Oryctolagus cuniculus: one gene and its partners. The protein of the gene in region 3 interacts with the protein of the main gene of each other region in a biochemical or structural test. Links are inferred from orthologs where the notes say so. Each region holds a gene or a part of one and is shown on either strand. Other genes may lie near its edges.

Evidence for each region.
Region 1: the proteins of SRC (region 3) and STAT3 form a complex in vitro, tested with the Homo sapiens proteins (3 studies listed by BioGRID). The link is inferred for Oryctolagus cuniculus from reciprocal best matches to the Homo sapiens genes SRC and STAT3.
Region 2: of the proteins of SRC (region 3) and TAMALIN, one has a biochemical effect on the other in vitro, tested with the Homo sapiens proteins (2 studies listed by BioGRID and IntAct, with this or other methods). The link is inferred for Oryctolagus cuniculus from reciprocal best matches to the Homo sapiens genes SRC and TAMALIN.
Region 4: of the proteins of SRC (region 3) and ENO1, one has a biochemical effect on the other in vitro, tested with the Homo sapiens proteins (4 studies listed by BioGRID). The link is inferred for Oryctolagus cuniculus from reciprocal best matches to the Homo sapiens genes SRC and ENO1.
Region 5: the proteins of SRC (region 3) and KHDRBS1 form a complex in vitro, tested with the Homo sapiens proteins (8 studies listed by BioGRID, with this or other methods). The link is inferred for Oryctolagus cuniculus from reciprocal best matches to the Homo sapiens genes SRC and KHDRBS1.
Region 6: the proteins of SRC (region 3) and MAPT form a complex in vitro, tested with the Homo sapiens proteins (3 studies listed by BioGRID and IntAct, with this or other methods). The link is inferred for Oryctolagus cuniculus from reciprocal best matches to the Homo sapiens genes SRC and MAPT.
Region 7: the proteins of SRC (region 3) and LDB3 interact in a test that uses a peptide from one of them, tested with the Homo sapiens proteins (2 studies listed by IntAct, with this or other methods). The link is inferred for Oryctolagus cuniculus from reciprocal best matches to the Homo sapiens genes SRC and LDB3.

The regions. Positions count from the first base shown.
Region 1 is NC_091448.1:20,436,970-20,441,632, forward strand, and holds the start of STAT3 (signal transducer and activator of transcription 3), read left to right. Parts: upstream 1-1,794; 5' UTR 1,795-1,839; intron 1,840-2,460; exon of another isoform or gene 2,461-2,595; intron 2,596-3,522; exon of another isoform or gene 3,523-3,693; intron 3,694-3,842; exon of another isoform or gene 3,843-3,900; intron 3,901-4,191; exon of another isoform or gene 4,192-4,308; intron 4,309-4,663. UniProt on the Homo sapiens protein: Signal transducer and transcription activator that mediates cellular responses to interleukins, KITLG/SCF, LEP and other growth factors. Once activated, recruits coactivators, such as NCOA1 or MED1, to the promoter region of the target gene.
Region 2 is NC_091442.1:55,329,002-55,333,668, forward strand, and holds the start of TAMALIN (protein TAMALIN), read left to right. Parts: upstream 1-1,424; 5' UTR 1,425-1,518; coding exon 1,519-1,743; intron 1,744-3,224; coding exon 3,225-3,274; intron 3,275-4,594; coding exon 4,595-4,649; intron 4,650-4,667. UniProt on the Homo sapiens protein: Plays a role in intracellular trafficking and contributes to the macromolecular organization of group 1 metabotropic glutamate receptors (mGluRs) at synapses.
Region 3 is NC_091442.1:21,170,130-21,174,150, forward strand, and holds part of SRC (proto-oncogene tyrosine-protein kinase Src), read right to left. Parts: coding exon 3,905-4,021; intron 3,066-3,904; coding exon 2,989-3,065; intron 2,382-2,988; coding exon 2,228-2,381; intron 2,128-2,227; coding exon 1,996-2,127; intron 1,734-1,995; coding exon 1,525-1,733; 3' UTR 1-1,524. UniProt on the Homo sapiens protein: Non-receptor protein tyrosine kinase which is activated following engagement of many different classes of cellular receptors including immune response receptors, integrins and other adhesion receptors, receptor protein tyrosine kinases, G protein-coupled receptors as well as cytokine receptors.
Region 4 is NC_091438.1:158,998,947-159,001,668, forward strand, and holds part of ENO1 (alpha-enolase), read left to right. Parts: intron 1-608; coding exon 609-806; intron 807-918; coding exon 919-1,120; intron 1,121-1,988; coding exon 1,989-2,097; intron 2,098-2,368; coding exon 2,369-2,427; intron 2,428-2,722. UniProt on the Homo sapiens protein: Glycolytic enzyme the catalyzes the conversion of 2-phosphoglycerate to phosphoenolpyruvate. In addition to glycolysis, involved in various processes such as growth control, hypoxia tolerance and allergic responses.
Region 5 is NC_091438.1:140,396,248-140,400,268, forward strand, and holds part of KHDRBS1 (KH domain-containing, RNA-binding, signal transduction-associated protein 1), read right to left. Parts: coding exon 3,908-4,021; intron 3,151-3,907; coding exon 3,004-3,150; intron 813-3,003; coding exon 679-812; intron 1-678. UniProt on the Homo sapiens protein: Recruited and tyrosine phosphorylated by several receptor systems, for example the T-cell, leptin and insulin receptors. Once phosphorylated, functions as an adapter protein in signal transduction cascades by binding to SH2 and SH3 domain-containing proteins.
Region 6 is NC_091448.1:17,309,630-17,314,392, reverse strand, and holds the start of MAPT (microtubule-associated protein tau), read left to right. Parts: upstream 1-1,517; 5' UTR 1,518-1,692; intron 1,693-4,763. UniProt on the Homo sapiens protein: Promotes microtubule assembly and stability, and might be involved in the establishment and maintenance of neuronal polarity.
Region 7 is NC_091446.1:78,050,014-78,054,034, forward strand, and holds part of LDB3 (LIM domain-binding protein 3), read left to right. Parts: intron 1-1,727; coding exon 1,728-2,148; intron 2,149-3,509; coding exon 3,510-3,690; intron 3,691-4,021. UniProt on the Homo sapiens protein: May function as an adapter in striated muscle to couple protein kinase C-mediated signaling via its LIM domains to the cytoskeleton.

The DNA of each region.
Region 1 (4,663 bases), on a different chromosome or scaffold from region 3:
GGGGTCACACAGGAGACAGGCGTCCTGCTGGGCACAGGGCACTCTCATCAGCATTACCTAGGAGAATTCCTGACACATATTGGATGTCCCCTGCCCAGAAAAGTCCCTGCCCCCTCCCTCCAGGCTTTGTCTCCGCTGGGTGACCAATACCCCTGCCCTGTGCATGGCTGCTCTATCAAGGATGATTGTCCAAGGGCTGGCATTTTGGTGCAGCAGGTTAAGCTGCTGCCTGCCATGCTGGTCTCCCATATAGGAGTGAAGGTTCCAGTCCCAGCTGCTCCATTTCTCACTCAGCTCCCTGCTAATGTGCCTGTGAAAGCAGCAGAGGATGGCCCAAGTGGTTGGGCCCCTACCACCCATGTGGGAGACCTGGAAGTTCCTGGCTCCTGGCCCAGCTCTAGCTGTTGCAGGCATTTGGGGAGTGAACCAGCAGATGGACGATCAATCTCTCTTCCCTCAATCCTCTGTTTCTCCCCCTCTGTCTCTGTAACTCTGCCTTTTACATAAACAAATAAATAAAAATCCTTAAAAAAAAAAAAAAAGGTAATGACAACCTATGGTGTAGGTACTTTCCTCTTCCTATGTCATAGATGAGGAAACAGATCCAGAGAGGTTCAGGAAGTAGCCTAGGGTCACACCGCCCAGTGGGCAGAGCGGCTGGGAAGTAGACTGAGTCAGGACCTGGCTCTCATCCACCAGGCTGCGCAGTCACCTTGAGGGTATCTTCCAAGCAAGAACATTTGAATACAAAATTACCAAGTCGGAATTATGCTCTCTAGTTAGATCAGGATGCCAAGGCTCAGAGAGGTTAGGGAACTCTCCCAAGGCTGCACAGCTGATCCTGGACCAGAACCTGGATTCAAACTTGGGGTGTCTCACTTCAGTTCCCGGGAGCTTTCACGTGAATGTGACTGCGTCTGTTGCCTGCGGTGATGGCCAAGGGGAGAGAGTGGCTAGGACGCTGCCCAGTATCAGCTTCTACAGCAAAGCTACGGGAAACGAGAGCATGTCCACTCTGGTCAGGAGGAGGCCCCTGGTGGCCTTCACGACCACTGTCCTCTGGTCAGGGGCTGGCAGAAGCCACCTAGGGCGAGCAAGTAGAGATGTGGGGGCAGTGATGAGAAGTGGAGGGGTAACTGAGGAAATACTAGGGTCAAGACAGAAAAGAGGAAGTGTCTTCAGAGACGGAGGGAGGAGAGAATTGATAAAGCTCAGAGGCAGAAGTGGGACACAGAACACTTCCACTTATTCACTACTTACTGAGCAGCTATTATGTGCTCCGCACAAGAGATCACCAAAGAGCCAAGATCCAGTGCAACTAACAGTGTAAGGAGGGAGATAACAAACTCTGTAAACAGATAAATAAAATGAGAGTTGTGATAAGAGTCCAGGAAACTGGACAGAGAGATAGTGATGAACAAGTTGGGACCAACTCTAGGCAGGAGTGGTTAGAGGAAGACTGAGTAAGATGGGAGTGGTGAGGCGGAAGTAGCTGTGCCAAAGCCAGGTGGAGAGAGGGAGCTGGCACATGCCAAGACCAAGGGCTGGGACGTGGCCTGGCTGGAATTCAGTAGGCAGCAGGGAGGGCCTTGCAGGGATGAGATAAAGGAAAACCCCTTCCCCTAAGCTCCCTGGGAAGCCCCGGAGGAACAGAATGGCATGGTGTGAATGCTGCTTAGGCAGTAGGGAATGACACAGCCTTGCCAACAGTGAAGAGGGAGGGCTGTTGATCAGCTGGGGAGAAAGAGAGAGGCTTGCAAGAGGATGCCTGCGGAGCAAGTCCCTGCTCTTCCCGGTGCTGTCAGTGAGAGGAGCCAGGCAGCCCTGTTGCTGAGCCCCGTGAAGGACCCCTTGCCTGTATGTTGTCACCTTTGGTCACCACCATGCCTCACCACCCACCTATCAGCCCAGAGGCCTTCTCTGCCATGCCACGTTTTTGTGTTTTGTTTATTTGAAAGGCAGAGCAACACAAAGACACACACACATAGAGCGATCTTCCGTCTGCTGGTTCACTCCCCAGATGCCAGCAATAGTCGAGGCTGGGTCAGGCCAAGGTCAGGAACCTGGAACTCCATCTGGGTCTCTCATGTGGGTGGCAGAGACCCAAGTGCTTGAGTGACCACCTGCTGCCTCCTCAGGTGCACAGAAGCCATGGAAGCTTCCATGGGAAGCAGAGGCAGGACTTGATCCCAGATGCTACAATACGGGATGTGGGTGTCGCAAGCCACAGCTTAACCTTCAGTGCCCTAAAGCCCACCCCAACCGCGCCTTTTTTTTAATTTTTAATTTGTTTATTTGGAAGGCAGAAATACAGAGAAGGAGGGGGAGAGAGAGAGAGAGAGAGAGATCTTCCATCACCAGTTCATTCCCCAAGTGTCTACAACAGTCAGGTCTGGGCCAGGCTGAAACTGAGAGCCAGGAGCTTCATCCTGGTCTCTCACATGAGTGCAGGGGCCCAAGCACTTGGGCCATCCTCTGCTGCTTTCCCAGGCACATTAGCAGGGAGCGGGATCAGAAGTGGAGCAGCTGGGACTCAAACCTGTGGATGCCGGCACTGCAGGTGGAGGCTTAACCTTCTATGCCACAGCACTGGCCCTGCAGTGTTTAAAAAAAAAAAAAAAAAAAAAAAAAAGGAAAGAAAGGCAGAGTGATGGGGTAGGAACAGAGACCTTCCATCTGCTGGTTACCCCCCAAATGCCTGAAATAGCCAGGACAGGGCCAGCTGAAGCTGGGAGCCAAGTTATTCAACCCAGGTCTCCCAAAGGCTGGCAGGGATCCAGCTGTTTGAGCCATCACCTGCTGCCTCCCAGGGCCTGCATTCGCAGGTTATTAGAATCAGGAGTGCAGCTGAGCGTGGAAGGCGGGCATTCTGATATGGGAGGCACATGTGTTCACTGTGCGGCCAAAGGCCAGCCCCAGGCCTTTTCTTTCTAAGCCTTAGTTTCCACAGTCATAAAATGAGAATTAGAACGCCTATGTCCTTGATCAAATGACAATCTCTGCGTAAAATGCTCAGTACAGTTCCTAGAACATAGTGATTAATAAAGGTTAATTATTTCATTTATAAGGAAGTGGGCTAGTAAATGGATACATTGCAGTTCAAGGTGGGGAAACACCTGCTGACGGCAGCCGAGAGGCAGACTGCCTGGGAGCACCGGGAAAGCCCAGAGGCGGCGATGCTGGAACCGCGCCTTCAAGAATGAGAGAGTTTTCAGCGAGGGAGCGAGGAAATGGAAGAGACATGGTGGGAGGGAAGAAAACCCACAGGGGCTGAAGTGGCGGGTGGTGCTGGCACGCCCTGGGGAAGGTGATCAGGGCAGGGCGGGAGTTCAGGTGGTGTGGGATGAGCCTGGACAAAGGGCTTCAGGTGAGAATACAGGATTTAGGAGTCGAATCGAGAGGACAAGGGGCATCAGCCCAGCTCCTGCCGCATGCCTGGCACTGAGTTAGGAGGTTGGTGCTTTTTTTTGAAGGAACTTGGATTTTTACCCTATGGATCACGGAGAACAGAAGAGATTTTGAGGCAGATGGCGACAGGGCTGAGTATTTATTCATATAACTTTTAGGATGATGCTCCTGGTAGCCAAGGGGAGATCGGGATGGAGTAAGGAGACAGTAGGGAAGCGGCCAGGCTTCGGCTCAAGAGGGAGAAGCTGCAGCGTTCAGCCGGTGGGGATTGGGGTCAGTCGGAGGCTGCAGAGGGTTTTTGTCCCTTTATCAGGCAGGCTCAGAGGTAGATTTCAGGGGAGAACGGTGGCGAGGGCAGTGAGGGGAGTGAACGCTCCTGAGGGGTCAGGGGTCACAGCTTACCAGGATGGAACAAAGCTGTGGCTCTGACCCACCTGGTGCACCTCCGGGTATCGCTGGGATTGGGCCCTCGTTGTCAGCGATGAAGGTGACCTGTTGTGAGAAAGGAGAGGAGAGTGTGTGAGCACCTTCCAAGCAGTAAATCACTGAGCAAATATCAGACCCTCTGCCACCAGGGAGGCCGTGAACTGCAAGGGGCCACACAGCTGGGATGGACTTTAGGGGAGGTGGCCATGGTGAAGATAAAGAGTGATCCATGACCCGTACATGCACTCTGTTTACAAACAGGCAATCCCACACTTCCGGGATCTACAGGACACCCCGAGACAGCTGTCCCAGCACCCCGACACTGACGGTTGCCTTATGGGTTCCCTCACCTCTCACTTGGATTTAAGGGCGCACCAGAAGTCTGAACCTGGAGTCTTGGGGGAACCATGTGAATTGCTGAGTATTTCTGGGGCTGGAATCCGTATTCTCCACCAAACTCTGAGATCCACTCCCCTTCAAAGGTTAAGAGACACTGATTTTTTTTCTCACCAAAAATTAAGAACAGCTATCCTTGGGGAAGACTGAATGAGGCAGGAGGGGGAGATTTTTCATTTAAAAATTTCTGGGAGGGGGGTCTGCCTCTCTTGGAGCCCCCCTCTTGGCTGCTGCATCCGGAGGTTTCTGACTTCAATAAATCTTGTTTTAAAATAAATATTTTGAGGGGCCAGTCCTGAGGCATTGCCGGTAAACCTGCTGCCTTCAGTGCCGGCATCCCGAATGGGAACTGGTTTGAGTCTCAGCTTCTCCACTTCTGATCCAGCTCCTTGCTAATGCTCCTGGGAAAGCAGTGGAAGCTGGCCCCAGGGCT
Region 2 (4,667 bases), about 34 Mb from region 3:
GGAGGGGAAGGTACTTAGGGAGCAAGTGCTTAGCTCCCAGCAGGCCCCAATCCGCCCCTGCCCCCACCCACAAGCATCTTGCCATCTGGGGTTGAGAAGCAGCCCCTGCCACTCACACCACCTGTAGCGGCTGGGGACCCTGGGGGCCTGGTGGGAGGGGGGAGGAGACAGACCAGCAACCAGCCAGATGGGCAGGGGACAGAGTCTTCAGGGCTCCCCAGGGGCAGCAGGCCACACCCCCTCTGAACTCCCCAGGGCTCCTGTGTCACCCTGCACCTGCACGACCTGCTGCTGGCCCCAGCGTCTAGCCAGCTCCCGGCACAGGGCAGAGCTGCAGCGCTGGGTGGGGGAGACAGCATCCGCCTACGACCAGGCCGCTGGGGTTTGAACCACACTGGGATGACCTGGAGCCTCAGTTTTCTGCTCCTCATCTGTAAGGGAAGAGAATGGTACCCATTTGATAGGGTTGTTATGGCGACCAGATGAGATCACACATGGGGCGGGGGCAGCCCCAGGGATGCGCTCAGTGCAGACAGGGGGAAGCCTGCGGAGGCGGCCGCAGGGACAGCGCATCACCCGCCCGTCGCCCACGTGCTGCCGCCCTGTGGTGGCTGGCCCCTCCTCGCACACCAGACGTGGCCTTCCACTTCCTCCTCTCACTTCTTATTTGGGCACCCCTGACGCCAGACGGCTGGGCACTGCCTGCCTCTCCAGCAGCCCAGCAGCCATGGCAACAATCAGCCCGGGGTGGCGGTGGGGTGTCCCTAACGCAGGGTCCGAGGAAGGCTGAGCGCGAGCCAACCCCACAGCACGTGGCTGGCAAAGGGCTTATGCAATAGGGCCCATCGGGGACCCGGGAGGAGACAGCCCAGAACGCAGGCTACGGCGCTCAGGTTTCCCCCCCTCACTTGCTTCTCCTCTGGCGTGGGAAGAGGCGGCCGCCTCTTTGGACAATTCTGGGGTACCTAAGAAAAGACGAAGGCATGGGTCCGCTCTCCCTTGGGGCTTCTGCGTAGGCGCAGTTTAGAGGCGTCCCCCCACCCACCCAATTTCTGCCCTTCCCAGCCCCAATGCTTCGCTCCCCTGGCATCAGGTCTCCTGCGGTGCCCTGGATCTCTGTGGAGCCCCAAACTTCCTTACAGTGGCCCGTGCTGTGCCAGCCCCCCCCCCACGCCAACACTCAGAAGACTGCTCCAGTCACCCACCCTCAAGCTTCGAATCTCCCGCCAACCTCCCTCACAGGCCCCCGTTGAGGGATCACGCAGACCTCCGCGTCGAAACGCCCGCGCATAGCCCCGGGGCTCCCCGCGATCCCCGCACCCCGGCCGTCGAAGGCGGGGGGCGGGTCCCGGGCGCGAGGGGAGGGGCGAGGACCCTCCCCGCCCCCCGGGACCCGCCCCGCGCCCGGAGCCTATAAAGGCAGGCGGCCAGGGGCCCGCCCGCGGGTCTCCGTGAGCCGCCGGCGGCGCCGCCGAGAGCTGCAAGCGCCGACTGCCCGGGGCTTCCCGGCGCGGAGACATGACCCTCCGCCGGCTCAGGAAGCTGCAGCAGAAAGAGGAGGCGGCGGCAGCCCCGGACCCCGGCGCCCGGGCCCCCGCCACGACGCCGGCCTCGGGTCCCCCTGCTGCCGCCGCCAGCCCTGGGCCGCCCGCGGAAGAGCTGTACGCGGCGCTGGAGGACTACCACCCCGCCGAGCTGTACCGCGCGCTCGCCGTGTCCGGGGGTACCCTGCCCCGCCGTAAGGTGCGTCCGCGGCGCCCCCACCTGTGCCTGCCGACCCCCGCCTCCTCCCATCCCTGTGGGGTGCAGTCCCTACCGCCCCCGTTTTGGTGGCTCTTCGCCCCTCCCTCCCTGAACCCCCCCCAGCACCCGCTCCGTCTGGCTTCCGGCCCCCCATGTCCCGTCTCTCCCTGTCCGGGTGTCTCGAAGCCCCCAGGACACCCTCGCCATGGACAAGTTGAGGGTCCCAGGTCCCCGGGTGGGGAGCTAGCGGGTGGCCGCGCCGCGGCGTGTGTGGGCGCCGCCGACTCTGGAGATCAGCCCTCTTACGAGGGGAGTCCCAGCCTCCCGGCCTGGCCCGCGCCGACACCGTGCAGTGCGCGAGCTTCGGCTGCTGCCTGGACTTCGGCGCCACCGGACGCGGCGGGAGGGGTCGCAGGGCGCCCGCGGGGCAGGAAGGATGCGGCCGCGCCCGCCCTTGGCGTCTCCCCCTACCCTTGGAGCCGGGCTTCCTCTGGCCCGAGGGGACCCGAGGCCCAGGTTAGGGAGAGGGGTGGTGGCCTTTCCCTACTCAGCCCCCTCCTTCCCCTGGCTCCGACCCCCCCCCCCCATACAATGAACAGCTTGTTGGAAATTTGCATTTTATGAAAATCGGGTTGAAAGACAAAAGGGTCTCTCTCTGCTGCCTAGCCTTCCTCCCCAGCCCATTTGGGAAGGTCCCCACCCCAGGCTGGAGAAAGAGGGCCTCTTTGCCTGGCCTTGGGGCGGCCCTGACCAGGAAAGGCCCAGGCGCCAAGTAGGGGCTGGTCTGGGCCAGGCTTCCTCCTAAGACCAAAACATCGGGCAGAAGCTGGGACTTCCAGCCCTGGCAGCCCTCCCCCAACGACAGCCCCCGAGCTCCCTTGCTGAGTGTAGTGGAGACTTACAAGTTAGAACGCCTAAGATCATTTTGTTCAAATACTTGGTAATGTGGAGAGACCAGGTGTCGCAGGGTGCAGCTGGCCCTTGAAGTGACATGTGCTTGCTCTTCCACAGGGAATAGCTGCCCCCCCCAGGCCATGGGGAGAGAGGCCTTGTGCGCAGAGGGTCCCCCACCCCTGGAGATAGCCCCTGCCTGCCTCAGTTTTCAAAGTCTGCAAGACCTGAGTGCCACCTCCCCCCCCAGACGTGGTCCTGGGAGTAGAGAACATTCTAGAGTACTGACTCCATTCCTCACCAGCCTGGGAACCAGCAGGGAGCTTAGGGGGCCCTGTGCCTGGGAGCCCTGGAGGACTGTTGTCCCAAAGGCCGTGGGATGGGGTCGAAGCCTGGGGAGCCAGGTAAGGGGGTGACCCTAAGAGTGATGCCAGCGCCCCAGCATGGATGGCGTTGGGAAGGGACAGACAGGCCACGGGAAGAGGGGTGTGGTGTGCAGGGCTGCAGCCCAGGTGGAGCGCCGTGCAGAGACCAGGGCTCCAGGCAAGGACCACCCCACTCACCTGCTCCTTCCTGTCTTTCCCGCTCAGGGCTCAGGATTCCACTGGAAGACTCTCACCCAGAGTCCCGAACAACATCGGTGAGTCACCCCACCCCAGCACCCTCGCCCCCCAGGACTGCAGCAGGGGCTGGGGCGGGGGGGGGGGGTTGTGTGGAGGTGGGGGCACAGCGCTGTGCGCCAGGGGGCGTTCTCCCTCCCTTCAAGCCTGGCTTCCCCACCCTGGGAGTGAGGGGCAGGTGGGGGTGTGGGCTGTGTTAAGGGGGTGTCAGAGAGAGGAGGTGGGGACTTCTGAGTCATTAGGTGCTCCTCAGCCACCCCCAGGCCCTGCCAGTTACGCCTCCCTGGAGAGATGTAGATGGGTGGGGGGGCGGGGGCTGCCCTAACCCAGGTCTCTGAGCCCACACCGTAGCTGAGCCATGTGCACGTGCTTGGGCCCGACTAAGCCTGCCTCTGGCCTGTAGGCCTGCGCTGTTCCCAGCGGGCCCAGCTCTCTTAGGAAAGACACGAGGTGTGCGCAGAGGTTTCTTTTCTCTGCTGCGGGTCGTCTCTGGCTCCCTCTCCAGTGGTTCAACACAAGGCTGCCAGACTCGCCCCTTGGGAGGCGAGAAGTGTTTCCGTACTTTTAAAGAGTGGCAGCATAAGAGAGAGCCTGAGATATTTACCTGCCCTCCAGTCCCCACCCCCACCCTGCCGGCCGTTTGCAGAGAGAGATCACCAATCTGGGGTCCCCTGCTCCTCTGTACCCACAGCAGAAAGAGTGCCCGGGCCTCCCCTTGGAAGTGGGGGTGCTGCTCAGCCCTCGAAGGGGTGTCCCCGCGCCAGGCCTGTGAGACGCAGAGGGGCCTCGGGCCAGGCGGGAAGGAAGGGGCTGGGGGAGGGGTGGGTAGAGGAAACTCCGGGCTCCCCAGCAGGCAGGCCAGGACCTGGAGTGGCTCCAGATCATTGTGTCCAGTGGGCAGGCCTGCAGTGCGGGAAGGGGCGGCCTTGCGGCTCCCCTCCCCCAGCCCTCACATCTGGTGGGCTGGCCCCACCGCAGCTGGGAGGAGCAGCTGTGGTCTCTGAGCTGAGCCTGAGCCTCGTGACTGGGCGGGGCGGGGCAGTCCCTGCCCAAAGCTGTGGAGCTGAAGAGGCTCCCAGTGGGGACTGAGTTTAGGGGCCTCGGCCAGTAGCTAAGCCAGGCCGCCAGGAAGCTGGGGTGCGATTGTAAGCCTGAGCCGGCCACCCCTGGCCTCCCACCCCCAGCTCTGGGCGGCTCCCTGAGGATGTGGAAGGAAGTTCCCGCAGGCCCTGAACGGGACAAGGTGTCTGTCCGTCTGTCCGTGGAGCCTGGGCGCCCTGTCTTGGGGTGGGGGTGGGGCTGGGAATCCTCAGCATCTCGCCTCCCCGTGTCTACGGCAGGAAAGTGCTGACTTTGGAAAAGGAGGATAACCAGACCTTCGGCTTCGAGATCCAGGTGGGTGGGAGAGGCAGG
Region 3 (4,021 bases):
TGGGTGTGTGAGACCGGGCGGGCGAGCAAGCCCAGATCTAACTGGGACGGACGGTAAAAACGAGAGGGAAAATGGAGACTTCGTGGGCAGGCACCGCGCGGCCGCCTCCTGCGCTGCGGGGCCGAGCTGGCTGGAGGTGACCCGCAGCGGAATGTTATTGCTATGACGGGGCCGCAGGTGAGGTGCAGGACGGGTCTGGGGGACGGAGCAGGGGCGTTTTTACATGTTAAATACGACACACACGGAGACACACACATACACACACACGCGGGCACATGGGCACACATACACACACACAGAGGGGCCCTCGGCAAGATGCCACAAACTGCCTGCCGCCTCTTTTACACATGGGCCCTGGGGAAGCCACCACGCACCCTAAGGCCGGACGGCAGCGCCGGGGCCAAAGCGTGGTCTCCTGCTGTCCCAGGGCTGGGCTCACCGTGGCTGCCCCGTCACAAGGCCACAGTAACCTGTGGGGCAGACTGCAGCCCAGAGAGGAAGCCGTCACACAGCCCAGGCGGGAGGCACCCAGGGCCACCCAGCAGGGTGCCAACCTGGGGTAAGGAACAGAGGCCAGACCCTGAAATGCCACAGGACAAGTAAGGGAAGGGGGCCTGGGAGTCCCTCGAGGCCGGAGGCTGCCAGCCTCTTGGCTCTGGTGTCGATTGCCTGCAGAGCCTGGGAGCTCACTCCCGTCCACAGCCGCAGGTTCCAAAGGTCAAAACCAGCCTCACTCAGACGGAAGCTGCCTCGCCACACCTGCGCCGTCCATGTTCCCCCCGCCCCGCCCCGACTCCCGTCTCCAGCGGCTTCGGGCCGCACCCTCGGCCCCTGGGCTGCCCTGCTGTGGTCATGATGCCTGTCGGTTCCTGAGGAAGACAGAGGAGCACCGGGCGCCGATCCCACCTCAGCACAAACTGCTGCGGCCTTGGGCAAGTCCCAGCCCCGCTGGGGATGTGGTTTCCCCGTGGGCAACACGGGGGTGGGCAAGGAACTGCTGCTCTCCACGGGTCCCTGGGGTCTCAGAAGGGTGGGTCTCAGAGGGGAGGGCTCGGGCTGCCCAGCCTGGGAGAGCTGGCGGGCACAGACATGGCAGCCTCCACCCACAGCTGAACCAGAAACGGATGGCGACGGGCAGGGTGGCAGGTGGGCTCAGCCAGGGCCCTCGCTCCTCTTTGGAAAGGTTCTTTGGCCAGCTCTGGAGACAGACCTGGGGCTGCATGGGCCGTGGACAAGAAGCCAGACGCAAGGAGGAGGCTGCGGCCAAAAGGGGCACCTTAGACCCCAGCCCTGCTGCTCGGCTCCTCCCGCAGAGGCCGGAAGAGTCAAGGGGTGAGTGCAGGCGGGAGGCCGGCGGCCTGGGCAGGTGCCAGGCAGCGCTGCCCGGCCCCGTGGGCTGCCTCAGGCCAGCAAAGAGCGAGCGAGGGGCCTCGTCCCGGGCGAGCCAGCCCCACAGAGAGGCTCAAGGGCGGGCAGGCGCAGCCCAGGAGCCAAGCTGAGCAGCCAGTCCGGTCCTGCCCGCTCCTATAGGTTCTCTCCAGGCTGGTACTGGGGCTCGGTGGACGTGAAGTAGTCCTCCAGGAAGGCCTGCAGGTACTCGAAGGTGGGCCGCTCCTCCGGCTCCTTCCGCCAGCATTGGCACATGAGGTCATGCAGGGACTCGGGGCACTCGGGCGGGCAGGGCATCCGGTAGCCCCGCTCCACCTGGTCCAGCACCTCGCGGTTCACCATCCCTGTGGGCAGGGCGGGCATGAGGGGCCGGGCTCCGGGGAGGGGAGCGGGAAGCGGGGAGGGGCGGAGGTGGGGGCAAGAGGGCTTCCTGCCTGGGACATGGGCGGGACCATGGCCAAGTCCTGCCCTGAGGCTGACAGTCCTGACCATGGAGTCTAAGTAGAGATCTCAACCCCTTTGGCCTCCAGGTGGGGAAACTGAAGCCCAGGAAAGGATGTGGCTTGCCCAAGGCCACCAGGGCAGAGGGGTCCAGGGGCTTCTCACCGGGGTAGGGCACCCGTCCCTTTGTGGTGAGCTCCGTTAGCAGGATGCCAAAGGACCACACGTCTGACTTGATGGTGAACCGGCCATAGAGTGCAGCCTCCGGAGCTGTCCACTTGATGGGGAACTTGGCACCTGCAGGGCGGGGAGGAAGCTCAGGGAGGCCCCCTCGGGGTGCCCCGACCGCCCCGCGGGGCCCCCAGAGCAGGGAAGGACCTGGCCGGACCCTGCCCACCTTGCCGGGCCGTGTACTCGTTGTCTTCGATGAGCCGGGCCAGCCCGAAGTCAGCCACCTTGCACACCAGGTTCTCCCCCACCAGGATGTTGGCGGCTCGGAGGTCCCGGTGCACGTAGTTCATCCGCTCCACGTACGCCATGCCTGAGGCAATCTGAGGGCAGGCAGAAGGTCACGGGCACGTGTCCAGGGTGGGGGCCGCCCCCGGGGGGGACAGCCAGCCCTGCTCCCCGCCCTGCCTACTGCTTCAGGCAAGGGAAGTCAATTTACAGTAAACGCCCCTGGCACAAAAGGCAGGAGCCCCATTCAGCAGCAGGTGCAAGGGCAAAGGGCAAAGGGGAGGCGCAAGACAAGACACAGGCCAGGGAGCTGGGAAAGAGGCCCCCGCTGACCCCGACACAGATGACTGCCAAGTTCTGGTGGTTGAGTGGGTCCCCTCACCAGGGTCCCCCTGGTGGCTGCCGGGTCCCCTCAGCTCAGACTTCTCATCCATTGAATGGGAACAGCCAACCTCTTCCTCTCCCGAGTTTTGTAAGGATTATATGAAACAATGGTTGTTGACTAATGTTTGCTGAGTGACTGAATGACCTTAACAAAGAAGAAAACTGGAGCTTCCAAGTAGGGTCTTCCTATGCCAGTGGTATGGCAAGATCACCGAATGTGGGGGCAATTGAGGTGGGCTTCCCAGAGGGGGCACTCAAGAGGCTGGAACCAGCTGGGTGTTTAAGGGCCAAGGGTATAGGGGCCAGGGGCCAACTCACCTGCGCAGCCATGTCCACCAGCTGCGGCAGCCGGAGGTACTTGCCCGTCTCTCCCTTGAGGAAGTCCAGCAAGCTCCCTGGTGGAGAGAGACCTGTTCCAGCCCCTGCCCTCTGCACCCACAGGCGGCACACAGGGACCCCTAGGCCCCTTGCTGGCACGGCAGGCCCAAAGACGGGCAGCTTGGGAAGCAGCAGCGCACGGCTGTGCAAAGGGGACGCTCCAGGCCGGCCGTGGAAAAGGAAGGAGCGCAGGCTCCACTGACCAGGAAGAATCTCCCGTGCAAAGTTGACGCAAACAGAATCAGTGTCCGTGACAGACAGACAGCAGGTCAGTGGCTGCTGGGTTTGCGGCTGGCGGCATACCCTGACTGCAGCAGAGGCTACACGGAGGACCCCTTGGTTAAAACCCACTGAACTGGGGGCCGGCGCCGTGGCGTAGTGGACTAAGTCTCCGCCTGTGGCACCGGCATCCCACCTGGGCTCTCGTTCGAATCCCGGCTGCTTCTCTTCCAATCCAGCTCTCTGTTAATGGCCTCGGAGGGCAATAGAAGATGGCCCAAGTGCTTGGGCCCCTGCACCCGCATGGGAGACCCGGAAGAAGCTCCTGGCTCCTGCTTTGGCCTGGCCCAGCCCCGGCTGTTGTGGCCATTTCGGGAGTGAATCAGCGGATGGAAGACCTCTCTCTGTACCCTCCTCTCTCCCCTGCCTCTAACTTCCTCAGGGATGTCTGATCAAACCTCCGCCAAAGTGGGAGCTTTGAGAAACAGCTGGTTAACTGCAAAGTGGAGCCAGGAGCAAGCCAGGCATGGGGGCCCCCACGTGGCTCAGCCTGCAGGGCTGGGGGTGCCTCCGCCCTCTGGAAGCCACGCCCATGGGAAGGCCACTGGCTTGCGCTCCCCTCCGGGGTGGGACGCACCCTTGCTCATGTACTCCGTGACGATGTAGATGGGCTCCTCGGACACCACGGCGTACAGCTGCACCAGCTTCTCGTGCCGCAGCTTCTTCATGACCTGTGCCTCCTGCAGGAAGGCCT
Region 4 (2,722 bases), on a different chromosome or scaffold from region 3:
CTCTCTCTCACTGTCCACTCTGCCTGTCAAAAAAAAAAAAAAAAGAATCAGTCACTGCTGAGTTGTTTTAGAAAGGTAACACGTCCCATAAACACATACTTATTTATGTGTCGAATATAAATATATTTAAAGAATAAGAAGTTTGTGAGCATATTTCTATGGCTTTTAAGGCAAACTAGTAAAAGGAAGGAATTACTTATCCTGCTTTTTGGCCCAATCCTAGCAGGTTGCTTGCTCACCGTTGTTGACGGGCAGAGTGGCCGTGCCCCTGGTGTAGCCATGCAGCTCGGGTGTTTGATGCATCTGACGCCAGCGCGGCGGCCCGGGCCTGCATTCCTGGCCGTGCAGCCTGGGCGTGGAGCTGACTGTCCAGGGCTCTCTGGAATCCCAGCCTTTGCTCTATTTAAACCTTGTCCTCAGGACAGCTGATGTCAGCCGCTCACTGTAACTGTATCTTGGCCGGCACAGCTGTTCCAGGCGCTAAATCTGGGAGCACCGGTCGGTGAGAAAGGCTGCGCTCTGAGTCAGTGCTGACTTTCCCACTTTCTGGGGCACCAGGGCCCAGAGGCAGCGACCCGCCTGTTCACCCGCGCCCCGTCTCTTCCCAGCCCTGGAGCTGCTGAAGAACGCCATCGCGAAGGCTGGCTACACTGACAAGGTGGTCATCGGCATGGACGTGGCCGCCTCTGAGTTCTTCAGGTCTGGCAAGTATGACCTGGACTTCAAGTCTCCTGATGATGCCAGCAGGTACATCACCCCCGACCAGCTGGCCGACCTGTACAAGTCCTTCGTCAGGGACTACCCAGGTGAGTGCCCCGTGGCAGCCCCCGCCTGCGGCCGCTGTCCACAGCTGTGGGAGAGGCGTGGCGAGGCCCGGGGACCAGGCGTGCTCTCACGAGATGCGTCTCCTTTCCCCAGTGGTGTCCATCGAAGACCCCTTTGACCAGGATGACTGGGAAGCTTGGCAGAAGTTCACGGCTAGCGCAGGCATCCAGGTGGTAGGGGACGATCTCACGGTGACCAACCCCAAGCGGATTGCCAAGGCCGTGGACCAGAAGTCCTGCAACTGCCTCCTGCTCAAGGTCAACCAGATCGGCTCCGTGACCGAGTCCCTGCAGGCGTGAGTGTCTGCCCCAGGGGGTGACCCCCAGCTAGAGCTGTGATTCCTGCTGCCTCGCGTGGGAACTCCAGGGAGCTTTTATTTTTTATTTTGTGACAGGCAGAGTTAGACAGTGAGAGACAGAGAGAAAGGTCTTCCTTCCGTTGGTTCACCTCCCCAAATGGCCGCTACAGCCAGCGCGCTGTGGCCAGTGCACTGCACCAATCCAAAGCCAGGAGCCAGGTGCTTCCTCCTGGTCTCCCATGCGGATGCAGGGCCCAAGCACTTGGGCCATCCTCCACTGCCTTCCTGGGCCACAGCAGAGAGCTGGACTGGAAGAGGGACAACCAGGATAGATTATTTGAAAGGCATAGTTAAAGAGAGGCCTTCTATCCAATGGTTCACTCTCCAAGTGGCTGTAACAGCTGGAGCTGAGCCCATTGGAAGCCAATAGCCCCAGGACCACCTTCTGGGTCTCCCATGCGGGTGCAGGGGCCTGAGGACTTGGGCCAACTTGCACTGCTTTCCCAGGCCATAGAGAGGTGGATCAGAAGTGGAGCAGCCGGGAGTTGAACCGGTGCCCATATGGGATGCCAGCACTGCAGGTGGCAGCTTTACCCGCTATACCACAGCGCCGGCCCCTCCAGGGCAGTGGTCACATGAGGGCCAGGGTGTTGAGTGGTGGGCTGATCCTGGCTCCTTTATGGCCTGAACATCTGATGGAGGAATCAGTGGATGAGTGCCAGGAGGGTTCTGTCAGTCGTCTCTGCCCGCAGGAGGCTGAGCCCAGTGTTGGAACCACGGCCAGGGAGCCCTTCCGGCTGTGCCCAGGCCTTTGGTCATGGTGCCAGGAAATGAGGTCATGTCCTGGGGTTGTCTCTGCTTCCAGGTGCAAGCTGGCCCAGTCCAACGGCTGGGGCGTCATGGTGTCTCATCGTTCTGGGGAGACCGAGGACACCTTCATTGCTGACCTGGTGGTGGGGCTGTGCACCGGGCAGGTAAGGGGTGGCTCCTCTCTGTCCTCAGCTTCCTGGGAAGGCCCGGTGGGGAGGGGGCCGCTTCTCAGGAGTGGGAGTCGTGTCTGTGACTTTCTCCTCGTGTCCGCGTGTAGCTACTGTGCTTGACGGTTGCCCCAGCTTTCCCTGCTTCCCAGGGCCCAGGGCCTCCTTAACAAACTCCCGTCTCTGCCATGGTGCCCTCTGCTTGCCCGATAGTCACGTAGATCCCGCATCCACTGCAACTAGCCTGACCTTTGTTGTCTCCTTCCAGATCAAGACTGGTGCACCTTGCCGATCTGAGCGCTTGGCCAAGTACAACCAGCTCCTCAGGTATGCAGCGTTCCCGATAACGTAGGGCAGCCACTGGGGGTACTGCCCTCCGCCAGGAACCCCCGGCTCTGGGGTGGGCACAGGTCGGGCTGTGGCGCGCCGAGCCAAGGCCCAGCAGTCAGGTGGACTACAGGGCTCCTGGCAGCAGCTGCCCGAGGTGCCGCTCTGTGCAGTGCCGCCATCTTGTGGTGAGAGAACAGGACTCCTTAGCAGGTCAGCCATAGCCTCACAGCTAGCGGAGGATTTGTTGATTCTCATTGATCCTTTCTTGGGATGAGGGCACCAGGGCTTAGGG
Region 5 (4,021 bases), on a different chromosome or scaffold from region 3:
TGTGAAGTGGGAAAGGGACCTATACTGGAAGACTCTTCAGGTCCCACAGAAGACCAATCCATCAGTACACTGCCTCGGGCAGATCTAGAAGGCTGAGTACTTCATAAAGGTTAATCACAAAAGGTAAAACCCCAAAGGCAGGCCATTTAAAAAATGCTAAGACGGGGCCGGAATTGTGGCACAGTGGGCAAATCTGCAGCCTGCAATGCTGGCATCCTGTGTGATCATTGGTTCAAGTCCTGGCTACTCCAGCTCTGATCTAGTTACCTGTTAATGGCCTGGGAAAAGCAGTGGAAGATGGTCCAAGTGCTTGGGCTCCTGCCACCCATGTCGGGGACCTGGAAGAAGCTCCTGGCTTTGGCCTGGCCTAGCATCAGCCACTGTGGCCACTGGGGAGTGAACAAATGGATGAAAGATTTCTCTCTCTTTAAAATAAAAATAAACCAATCTTTAAAAGAAAAAAACAAAGTAAGACTGTCCAAAATTAACACTTAAAATTTTAGCAGGACTGTAGCACCTGACTATGGTTAAAGTGCCAAAGATCTACAATTCCATTCTTAATGCAACACAGGAATCCCAAGACCCTTCTAAAGCTAGAAATAAGAACAATGCTCTTACAATTATGTTACTACTAGTGGTCATTTATATCCTATTTCTGGCTATTTCCATTATTTTTACCTTGGAACAGGTGGAGGGGGAGGTGCAGCTCCCCGGCCCCTCACTGGCACCCCTCGTCCACGAGAGGGCTCAGGTACTCCATTCAAGTAGGACAGCTCTAGAAATTGCTCCTGGCAGATATCATCCATCATATCCTGGGAATGAAAGATAACAAAGGGTACTGTACAACACTGTCACTTTTTACCGTGAAGTCATCTGGCCCACGTGAGTCTTGGATGCTAGGAACAGCTTGGAAAGGCCAGATAAAGGCTCAGATCACTGACTCTCTGAAGCTGAAGAGCACCCTGCCTGTCACTTCTTTGAAGAAAGCCTTGGTGTTAGACCCGCCATTATTCAGGTGGGGCTCTTCAGGACGTGGTCCCTACCATCCGCTCTCCTCTCAAGCCACACTCAACATTTTGTAGGTCAGAACCTGGCACCCACTCTCATACATCCATCCTTGGCAAATAATTTCCTTTCCCTGGAATAATAAAAGCCACTACCATTAATGGAGCTCTATGAACAAGGCACTACATAATAAGCTTTATATAGATTTTTCAGTTTAATTTTCAAAATGACCCTGAAGTAAGCAAGCAGATCTCTATTTTTACAGTTGGGAAAATAGATTCAAGGAGTATACATCAACCGGACCAAGGGAATGGAGCTTAAAGTGGCAGATTCCAAATGTGAATTCGGTATTAGCTTTCTCCAAAATTTAGACTTTGAATCAACAGACTATACCCCCCCCTTTTTTTTAATATCTACCTGAGGGACTCTTAACTCTTACAAGAGTTCCTAAAATAGTAAAACAGTACTACTATTGACAAACTTTCTCTTGATACCAACTCCATATCTGCTCTTTCCTAAAACACCACATAATTCTTTCTACCTAATAAGCACTTACCACATCATTTTATACCATGTTTATCTTCTCTTACTAGACTGTGAGCTCTTCCAGGAGCCACTTTTGTAACGTCGGAGGCAGCACAGTATTAGGCATCTACCAGATATTTAACAAGTGTTTGGGACAAACAGGAACCTGAGGCTCAGAAAAATGAAAAGATAACTTGTTTCAGACAGAGCTCCCAGCCCAGTGCTCCTCCTAAGGTACACAAAGCCTCATGGCAGAATTAATGGCTCTAAAACGAAAGTGGATATTCCGGCAGGGATGCAAATACAGGCACACTGTTTTTCCTTTACTAGAGGAAGAACAGTCAAATGCCAGACCTTTCCTATTAAGAGCTATTCTGTCTTAATACGTCATGCATTTCTAAGTATCTTAGGTGATTATGGCTTTAGAAGAGTCCAGTCATTAGAAAGATGCTTCCCTCAACTTTTCACTTACTCCTGCTCACTTACTCCTCATTATTGCTTGAAACTCCCATTGGAGAACAAAATAACCAATGCTAGCCCATCGTTCAGATTTCATACTGGAATCCTTGGAGTTCAGCATTATGGGTAAATACCGCTCTACCAATTCTCCTCTCCTCTGACACATTTAGTTCCAACTCCTTCATTTTACAGTCAAGAAAACCAAGGCCTGTACCTCATTTCCTGCTAGTTTTAGTATGAAAAACATGACATTTATTCAACTGTAGCTGAATATTATTCCAAGTCTTTACTAAGTTCCAGATTAATCTTTGATATTAAAATGTGTAACAATCGTATGGTGGTAACTCTAACAACCACTAGGCCTTGCTAAAAGGCAAACATAGTAGCACTTCCCACTTAGAAGTGATAACAAGCAAGACAGATGCCTAGCCTGTTCTAACTCTTCCTAGGCCGCAGCGACAGCCTGAAAGGACCTGTGCATCAATCTATTTAATGTTACAGTCAACGGAGTAACAATCACGCCTCTTCCAAATTAAACTCTAAACGCAACTCCCTGAGACACTCATGAGGACAGTCAAGTCAACTGAATCCATTACTATCAAATACTATACATTTCTGCTGTCACAGCCTCCAGACTCTAATCTACAACATAACTTTGGAGGTAGTCACCTTAGTCAATTTCCTAGTACAACCTCCAGGCTCCACGCTGGTACCAGAGTATTTAGCTTATGAAGACTGTTAACCAGACTGTAGAATGCAGAAACACTGTGGACTCAGAATACCGACAACGGATACTGTACACAATAAGAACCACATTACATAAGAGGAACAGACTAGCCTTGGGGGACAGTGCTTTGAGAACAAGGTATGAGTAATGGACCCTACACGCATATGCAGAATGTGGCACACAACTTCAGCAATGCTCTGCAATCCTAGTTAAAAACTTCTGCCTTTACAACAGCTGAGAGCCCACTTCTCCCTTGCTCAGAAGATACAGGCTATAGATTTCCTTACTGGTACTAGAAACTTCTTGACTTCCTCCATGGCATGGGCCATGAGAGCATAAGCCTCACATGGAGGTCCAAAGACTTCAATGAAGACATGCAGATCCATGTTCAAGTGGGCATATTTAGGGTCTCCACCTTTGCGCAGCTCTTCCTCCTGTGGATAAATGCACAGAAACATCACATCATGTGGACTAGGCCAAAGGGCCAATAAGAAATGAGGGCACTGTACATGGAAGTAGCTTAACCTGCTGTGCCACAATGCCAGCCCCAAAGAGCGAGTTTTTCAACTGTCGCGGGTACGTTGCATCTGAAAAGTTGACCACAGAAGGCTAAGACTATTTTGTTCTGATGGGAAGTTTCCTGGCACTTACAAAGAACACACAGTGTCTGGGCTACGGCATGTAAAAACGACCAGAAGCCTTACTTCTGGGTTACTCAGGATTTCTTGGGAATACCTTTTTTAGTGGGTCTCACATTCCAGGTGGCTATAAAACAAAACAACCGATCTTCAAACTCATCCCCATGCATAACACTACTCTCATTTTTCACATTACTGAAAAAGGAGTATTCATTCACACGTTACTCTCTTTAGCCAGGCTAAGTTTAATACACCTAAAGTTGCCCGGCTCCCCTTTCAAGTTTTCACAGGTAAGTTTACTAAAGCCAAAGATGCTATTGTTTCCATTATTACACAATAAAACGGGGAAAAAAATCAAACACAGGCTCTTCCAGGACTGTCAATCAAGTCAGTTAATTTAGTCTGTTATCTCTTGCATCCAATGAAAACAGAGTCACATATATACAGTCACTGTATATACACGAATTGCTTGCTTCTGTAAGGCATTCCACACTTAACCCTGAGCAAGTAGAACACACTAGGGCATCCTCTTGCCTCACTAATGTGAGCTTACCTTGGCTTTGTCTCTCATTGAACCCTTTCCCAACACAGAGATCTTTGCACCAGTCTCTTCCTGCAGCCTTTTTATTGTATTTCCTTGTGGTCCAAGAATCTTTCCAACAAAATT
Region 6 (4,763 bases), on a different chromosome or scaffold from region 3:
TCGTTCCGGGGCCTGCGCTGTGGTGCAGCAGGTTAACGCCCTGACCTGAGGCACCGGCATCCCATTTGGGCGCCGGTTCTAGTCCCAGCTGCTCCTCTTCCAATCCAGCTCTCTGCTATGGCCTGGGATAGCAGTGGAGGATGGCTCCTGCGCCCACCTGAGAGGCCCGGAGGAAGCTCCTGGCTCCTGGCTTCAGATCAGTGCAGCTCCAGCCATTGCAGCCATCTGGGGAGTGAACCAGTGGATGGAAGACCTCTCTCTGTCTCTACCTCTCTCTGTAACTCTGCCTATCAAATAATAAATAGAATAAATCTGTTTAAGAAAGAAAGAGAGAGAGAGAGAGAGAGAGAGAGAAATTCGCTCCAAGAAACTGCGGGATGCCGCGGGCCACAGGAGTGCCTGGGCTCTGCTCCACCTTCCAGCTTCCTGCCGGGCACACGCTCCTTGGGCAGCTCACCTACCTGGGTCCCTGCCACCCAGACGGACGTCCAAGCTCCTGGGCCAGCCCTGGCTGTTGCAGGAATTTGGGTACAGAACCAGATGGAAGTCAGTATCTTTGTCTCTCTGCCTCTCAAAAATGAAAATCAATGATATTTTTTTTTTCAGTTAGCCCCAGCTCCATCATCTACCCGCTGCTCCCAATAATAATTAAACCCGTGTGAAGACAGGATTTTCACTGTTTGCTTTTTATATTAATCCAAAAGCATACATCGGTCTAAAAAAGGAGCCATGCAAGGAAAGGCTGAGTTCAAGCCCCCGTCCGCGAGGGTGAGACGGCCGCCCCTGCCCCTTTCTGTCTCCCACGTCGGGGCTTCCTCGGATGCTGGGGATGTGTGGACTCCCAGGGCAGCCGCAGGTCAGCTTCAGGCTGCCGAGAGCCATCCCGGCCGACGGTGCCCTGCAGGCACTGGCAGACCCGCGTCGGAAGCTGCACCTGCAGCCGCGGCTGCGCTGCGATCCGAGCAGCCGTTCGTTTAAAAACGAACCCGTAACAGTAGCACCACGACACGGATCGATGAAGCAAAGAAGTGACCTTGTTCAATGACAAAAAAGGGTGACAAGCAGCAAGGAGACAGGCAGCGGGGCCGGTGACCTCCAGCCGGGAGCGCCTTTCGGGGGGACCCGGGGGAGAGGCGCGGAGGTCGCAGGTGCACGGAAACCCGCCGCGGGCTCCCGACATAGGACACCGCCCCGGGCAGATGGAAACCAAAAGGGCAGCATGGCAGCGCGCGTTCAGCTAGGGGCCGGAGGGAGGAGACCCCCCAACAAGACAAAGGCTGCAGCCGCGGGAGGCCTAAAGTGCGCGTGCGCTACGGAGCGCGCGTGCGCGCGGCTGGCCGCGCCGCGGCCCAAGACGTGGGGGAGGGGACTCGGGAGAGGAGTGAGCCGGGGGCCGTGGGCGGGCCGCTCGCGCGCGCCCCCTGGCGGCCGGAGGAGAAGGCGCCCGCGGAGGCCTCGCGGCCCGCCCCGCCCCTGGGGTGGCTCGTGCCCCCGCGGCTCGCGCCTGCGCCTCCGGTCGGGCTCGGGGACGCGCCCCCTCGCCCGCGCGCGCGCGCTCGCAGCCACCGCCACCCACCGGCTCCGGCACCAGCAGCAGCGCCGCCGCCGCCGCTGCACACCGTCTGCACACCGCCAGCGCCGCCGCCTTCCCTCGGCTGCCCGCTGCAGTCCTCGCCGTCTGCCGACTACCAGGTAAGCGCCGGGACTCGGACACCCGCCTCCCGTGCGCTCCGCAAGCCGCCGCAGCCGGAGTTTAATGCCCACCTGCGGCGGGGGCTGGGGCCGGGCGGCGTGGACCGGGGCGCGTGTGTGTGCGTGCGCTTGTGTGGCTGGGGTCCCGGGCGGAGGCTGTGCCCGCAGGGTGGGGCGCGGATGGTGGCCTGGGGGAGGGGGCTGCGCTCTGTCCTCCATCGCAGCCTTTTGCCGCAATGGGCGTGTGTGTGTGTAGGGGGGAGTCCAATGACGACCCCCGAAACCGAACCTCAAATTCGACTTCTCTGCCGCTGTCTGCTGAGAACAAGACCCGGATCGGGTTCTCGAAAAGACGATGGCTCGCACACCTCCGTGCCCGCACCTCCCCGGCGGCGCCCTCCTCGCCGCCCCCTCCTCCGTCCGTTCCTCCTTCAGAAAGCCACAGGGGACATTTGGGGGCTGGGAGGAACCCGAGAGATGGGGAGGGGGCCAGGCGCTGTCATTCCAGCCGCCCTTCCCCCTGCGCGCGCCTGGCACGGGGACTTGGGCAGCGCCGCGCCCGAGGAGAGATGGTGCGTGGGTCCCCGCGGGGACGCCCTCCGAGGCAGGCGGCCCCGGGCCGTGCGACGTGGACGGACTGCGGGGCCGCGGCTCCCGGCTCGCGGGCGCGCACGGCCGCAGCCCTGCACAGCCGGGCGCGGGGGCTGCAGGTGCCTTTCGGGGCGGGTCCCTTTCTCTCGCTCTGCGCCGGGCGCTCCCTGCCGGAGGCGCGGGGCTGGCGCGCAGGGCTCGCCCCTCACTGCGGCAGTGGGTGTGGACCCGGGTGGGCGGCGGAGGGGGGAGCAGGCTGTGCCTCCTCCCACTCCCACCCCTCCCCCGTTTTTTCCCTGCCGAACGCGAGGTGCCATCTTTTTGCGGCTGTCACGTCTTTCTGTTCCCAAGCCGAGCCGGGTGGTCGGGCTCCGCGGAACGGGGCACGGACTGGCCTTGGGTGGGGGGACACCATCAGCCCCGAAATCGCGGCGTTTGGATGCTGCGGGAGTGAGCGCGGGGGTCGAGCACGCGGAATTTTCTTCGACAGCTCGCTGCTTTGTTCCTAGAGCTTACGTGATCCGTGCTCGCGGCCCCGTCTGGGGGTTTCTTCCATTCCACGAGGGCGTTCAGCCAAGACTCCTAGCCCCCTCGTTTCCCACCCTTTGTCGGCTCTTGGTGCTTGCCGGGGGTCCATGAGCCCTGGTCACGAGCCTCCGGGGCGCTGGTGGAACAGCCGCCACCCTTCCCGGAGGTCAGCCCCACGCGGGGGAAGCGCCCTCCCTGCCCAGGGGGGTGGGATTCGGGGTCTGGGCGCGCCGTGCACCTCCCGAGGCTGCCAGCGTCCTGGGGGACACGCCCGCGCGGCTGTCCGGCGATGGGGGCGCGCTCGCCGCCGGCGTCTCTCCCGGCTTTACGCCCTGTTGCTACGCCAGGCTGGAGAATGTCAAGAGGGGGCGTGAGGTTCCCTCGGGCGCCACCGCCACACCCATTTTTTTCCAGACCCACCGAGCTAGCTGAGTGGGGAGTTGCCATGGGAACCGCACGCGTCCGGTGACGGACCCTGGCGGCGTCGCCCCGCCCCCTCCCCGCGGAAATTGGGGACCCAGGGCGGGCCTCGAGATGCGCGCGCTGGGGAGTCCCCCGTCCCTGACCTGTGGCTCTTTCTAATTAGTCCCCGGCGGCCGCAGCCACCCAGACAGGCGTCCCGGATGTATTTTATTATCTTGGCTGGGCTAATTAATATTGCTAAGTGCGAGATTTTCACTTAAGAGTCGGAGTTCGTCGCCGCATTTGGCAGTGAGACGGGGGTATGCGGCCACCTCCCGGGTGATGGCTTTCCGCTTTATTCCAGCGCTGGAAACTGGTGTGGGCGTGGGGCTCCGAGAGCGATGAGCGTGGTCGGGCCAGCTCGTCCGCGCAGGCCTCTCGGGTTCCGCTCCTTGGAACAGCCTGGCTGGGGTGGAGCGCCCGCAGGAGCCGCCCCGGACTGAGTCAAGCATCCTTTTCCCCCAGCCCTTCGCCCCTCGGCAGCGCTGGGGCGGCCCGGGAAAGGGGGAGCCCTTTGCAGCCCCTGGGGAGGAGAGGGAGCCCGGCAGGCACAACACCTTTAGCCCGGTGCCATGGTCCGAGATTTCGCTCCGTTTTGGGGGGCTTAATGGTGTCACCCCAGGACCTTGAGGGAATGCGCAGCGCCCAGCCCCCGCGGTGGTGCCTAGGGACACTCACCCCCGCCCCCTAACGGCTCCAGCAGCGGGGGGCTCTTTTCCCTCCCGGGAGACCCCGCTTACCCCCTGGTACTCAGGAACCTGTAGCTCCAAGTCCTGGCCCAGTGCTGGCTCCCCCTTGGGACAGCGACACTGGCCGGCCCCTCCCCCACCCTGCCCCCTCCACGCCCATACTACGGTGGAAGAGAAATGTCTCTCCCGCTTGGCTGATTCTGAGCTGTGTTTTATGAATTTCCGGCCCCTCATCTCTAACCCTCCCTCTGAGTACAGAAAGAAATGTGTGGCTGGCTGGAGGGGGAGAGGAGGGAAAGCCCCCCCCCCCAGGTCCACAGCCACTCATGACGCTAATCCACCCCCTGGCGTTTGCCTCCGTAACAGGTGTGTTTGGGGCAGTAGCCTGGCTTGGCTTGGGGTTCACCTTGGATGATTTGGGAGGGTTTGTTGGCTTTGCTGGGTGTTGGTGAGTGACAGTCGGTGGCTTGTGTGTCCCTGCTGGCCCAGGCCTTCTCTGCACACGCCCACCACGGAAGGGTGTGGCTTTTAAGTGGTTTCTAGTATCAGGCTCTGCTCCCCAGATAGGAACAAAAGGGATGAATGCCCCTAGGACGCTGGGAGGAAACTTGGAGTGTGTTTGATTGAGCAGAGGTCGGGTTCATCCCAGCTGGGAAGAACCCCTGCTGCTGACCCCCGTGGCCTTGGAGTTCAGGGCCACCTGGAGAGGTGACAGGCCTGTGGCTCTCTTGGTGTAGGCTGACTTTTCCTTCCGGATTTTAACAGCGCCTGCGGCTCGTTTCCCGACATCGTGTTGTATTC
Region 7 (4,021 bases), on a different chromosome or scaffold from region 3:
CATTAGCAGGAAGTTGGGTGGGAAGCCAGGGAAGTTGGGACAGAAGCCAGGCACTCCTGTATGGGCTGCAGGGGTCGCAAGCGATGGCTTCAATTGCTGTGCCACAACATTCACCCCAGCACTGTGTTTCTCATTTCCCCTTCATCCTCATAATAACCCTGCGAGGTCCTAAGAATTATTGTTGCCTCAGGGAACTGAGGCCTGGAGAGGCTGCAGTACTTGCCTGAGTGTATACAGCCGGTACGACTGTGCTGCATGCCTGGGAATGGGGGCTCCTGTTGATGGTGACCCCTTGATGACATGGTGCATGGGGGTTTCTTTACAGGGGCAGCTGGGAGCTGGAGAGAATGCTTGGAGAGTCCCAGGCTGCCCCTTCCTGGCTCTGAGCCCCAGTGACCTCACAGGTGAAGGGGATAATGTGAGGACTGACTCAGACGATCCATTATGTGCCTAGCCCACCCATTAGTAAGTGCGAGGAAGATTCCTTAGGGAGAAGGTTTCACCTCTGGCCTAGGGTGGCTCCGGGGCAGGGCTGGGGAGGGTTTTTCCCCTTCACACCCCCAGACCCGTGATTCCCAGCTCTGAAGCGTGAGTCAACTAGGAACAGAAAGTACAGAGTTGGAGCAGCAGGCCAAGGGTCACCCAGAGGGAGACGACAGGTAGGGCCGCGGTCTTGAGCCCTGCAGAAGGGCTTTCCTCCTCAGGAAGGCCCAGTAGGGGCTGCCTTGGCACAGTCCACATGCCCAGGCCAGGCTAAGGGGCAGGGGTGGGAAGCTGCCCCCGTGCTTCCCCAGGGAGGGAGAAGGAGGGCTCCTTTGGAAGCTGTGGGCTGGGGCGGGGCTGCTGGCACCTGCTGCGATGGAGGAGGAGGCCGGCTGGGTGATGAGCGGGGTGGGGGGAGCAGCGGGGTCTGCCCAGCTGGCCTCACACTGGGAGGCGGCAGAGTGTTCAGAAAGTTGGGTTTTGAGGACCCAGATCTGAGAGGGCTCTGGTTAGCGGCTGCAGCACCCGTTCTGTCCTGGGATCCCCAAAAGAGCTTCCTCTCTCAAGTAGCAGGAGGGACCCAGCCCTGGCTTCCACAGCAGCCTCAGGCGGTCGCTCAGATACACTGTCGGTGTCTACCAAGGGGATATGGGGAAGCAGGGTTCCCCCAGACGCAGTGTCTCCACCCAGGCTAGCTCCCTGATCAAACCAAGATGGAACCTGCACCACTACCACCACAACCCCCCCCCACCCTCAACCCCATGCAAATCGAGTCAACCTGTATGATTCAAGAAAGTGATGGTAGCTAAACCTGAACCTGAAACCCCAGTTGTGGGGGGCCAGCTGCTTGGTCCCCACATCTGGCCTAGATCCAGGCCCAGCAAATGCATTTCTGGGACAAATCACTGGTCAGAGAGCGACTGCAGAGCATCCTCCAGTCAAGGCCGAACTGACCCACTCCCACTCCCACCCACTCCCCTCTCCTGCAGGCCGGGGGCAGGCAGCCCTGCCCACATGGATGTGTATAGCTGCGTCGCCCAGCCTCCCCTCCCTTCCTCCAAGCCCGCTTCCTCCCTGGGCAGGCCTGCACCTGATCTTCCCCATCCCTGGACACCCAGAAGTTCAGGGACGTGTCTCCCTGAAACACTGGAATCCTACTGCTCTTTGCAGCTCTATCTGGGGGAAGAAGAAGTGGGGGGTATGGATTCCTGATGCATTTTTCTTCTGGTCTTTTTGGTTTGCAGTGCCTGCACCTACCTACAGCCCGTCGCCAGGAGCCAGTTACAGTCCAGCCCCCTACACTCCTTCACCTGCCCCTTCCTATACCCCCTCCCCTGCCCCCACCTACTCCCCTTCCCCAGCACCCACCTACACCCCCTCACCTGCCCCCAACTATAACCCTTCACCCTCAGCGGCCTACAGTGGGGGTCCCACGGAAGCTACCAGCCGGCCCCCCTGGGTGACAGATGACAGCTTCTCTCAGAAGTTCGCCCCTGGCAAGACCACTACCACTGTCAGCAAGCAGACCCTGCCACGGGGGGCCCCAGCCTACACCCCGGCAGGGCCCCAGGTGTCCCCTCTCGCCAGGGGCACCGTCCAGAGGGCTGAGCGCTTCCCAGCCAGCAGCCGAACTCCACTCTGTGGCCACTGCAACAGCATCATCCGGTATGTCCTGCTGTGTCCTGGGTGACGTGGGGAAGGCAGGGGTGTGGATGCTCGCCCATGGCAGAGAGGGAGGGGAGGTACAGGATTCAGGAGGGAGCTGCAGGCATGTCCCTCCTGCACTGTCTGGGCTGACCTCTCTGAGCTTAAGGGGTCAGGCCACCCACGTGAGGCCCATGTCCCTGCGGGGTTGGGAGGGCCCCATGAGGTCAGTTGGGAAAACTCCAGTATGGTACCTATGCCAGGAGCTACCCCTTGGGCTAAGGCCGGGTGCTGGGAATCTGGAGGCTTATGGGACATGTTGCAAGCTGGCTGACACCATGGGTTTTGACCCAGCTTTCCTTTAGAGTGGCTACTGGGTCTTTCTTGGAGATAGGCCTGTGTGGCCCCAGAGCCTTGGTGGGTATCAGCCACACTGGAATGAAAGCAAGTCACTTCATGCTTAGAAGCCAGCAGTCGTGGACAGTGCTTGTTTGCATACTGTGTGTGTGTGTGTATGTGATGAGCTCATAGGTACACGGAAAATATGTTTATTTAAAATGAAAGTAGCACATCCTCATTAAAGAAGAAATAGACAATGCAGAAAAGTAAAAGCGAGGATACAAAAAATTTGCTCACCATCCCTACAACTACATGACCTACAACTAGACTCTGGTTTGTGTCCGGGTCCCCCACTTACCAGCCCTGTGGCCTCGGATGAGCTACTTAACCATGCAGAGTCTCAGTTTCCTTGCCTGAAAATGGGCACCATCATAGCACCCACTTCTTAGGGTTGTTGGGAGGGTGAAACACGTTAACAAATGCACAGTTCTTGCATTGTGCCTGGCACAGATAAACATGTAATCAGTGTTAGCTGTCAGCATCATTCTTTTTAAGATTTATTCATTTGAAAGGCAGAGTTATATATAGACAGATCTTCCATCTGCTGGTTTACTCCCCAAATGGCTTCAGTGGCTAGGGCTGAGCCACTGAAACCAGGAGCCTGGATCTCCATCCGGGTCTCCCACATGGGTGGCAAGGCCCCAAGTGCTTGGGCCATCATCCACTGCTTTCCCAGGCACATTAGTGGGATTGGAACTGGTGCTCATAAAGGATGCCAGCGTTGGCAGGGGGTGACTTAATCCTCTGCATGTTCATGCGTCACCTGCCATGGACAGGTGGGACTTGTTTCCTCGTTCTCTTTCCTATGATGCAACAGGGAACGCTTTTCTGCAGGGAGCTTTCTCGGACCCTCACAGCACTGCACTGAACAGTCACGATGTCAGAGTTACTCGGTGTTACGCGTGAACACTGCTGGGGTTCTTGAAATACCTGCTCCCAGGGTTTGGAGCTGCCTTGTTCACGGCTGCCCTCTGCTTCTCTAGGGGCCCTTTCCTCGTAGCCATGGGCCGCTCCTGGCACCCGGAGGAGTTCAACTGTGCCTACTGCAAGACCTCCCTGGCAGACGTGTGCTTTGTGGAGGAGCAGAACAACGTTTACTGTGAGCGGTGTTATGAGCAGTTCTTTGCCCCACTCTGCGCCAAGTGCAATGCCAAGATCATGGGGGTAAGCGACTCTGACCCTCATCTTTGCCCATCTCCCCCAACCAGCTTCTCCTCCTCCCCCAGGATTGTGAGTTCCCATTAGGAGGCCAAGAACAGAGAGAAAGCAACTCGGGCTCTGTCCTTAGAAGGGAGTCGTTCTGCCTCCAAAGAGCCAGGGATCAAATGAACTTGAAGCAAGAGATGATTATATGCCTGCACCACATGGCTTGTGAGATGTCTGCAGAGCGAGTTATTGCTTCATGGGCCTGACCTCACCACTCACCTGAATGCGGCCTTGCCCCTCCGTGCCCCTTTGGTCAAATGGCAGGAGTAAGCTGGACCTCTCGCCTGAG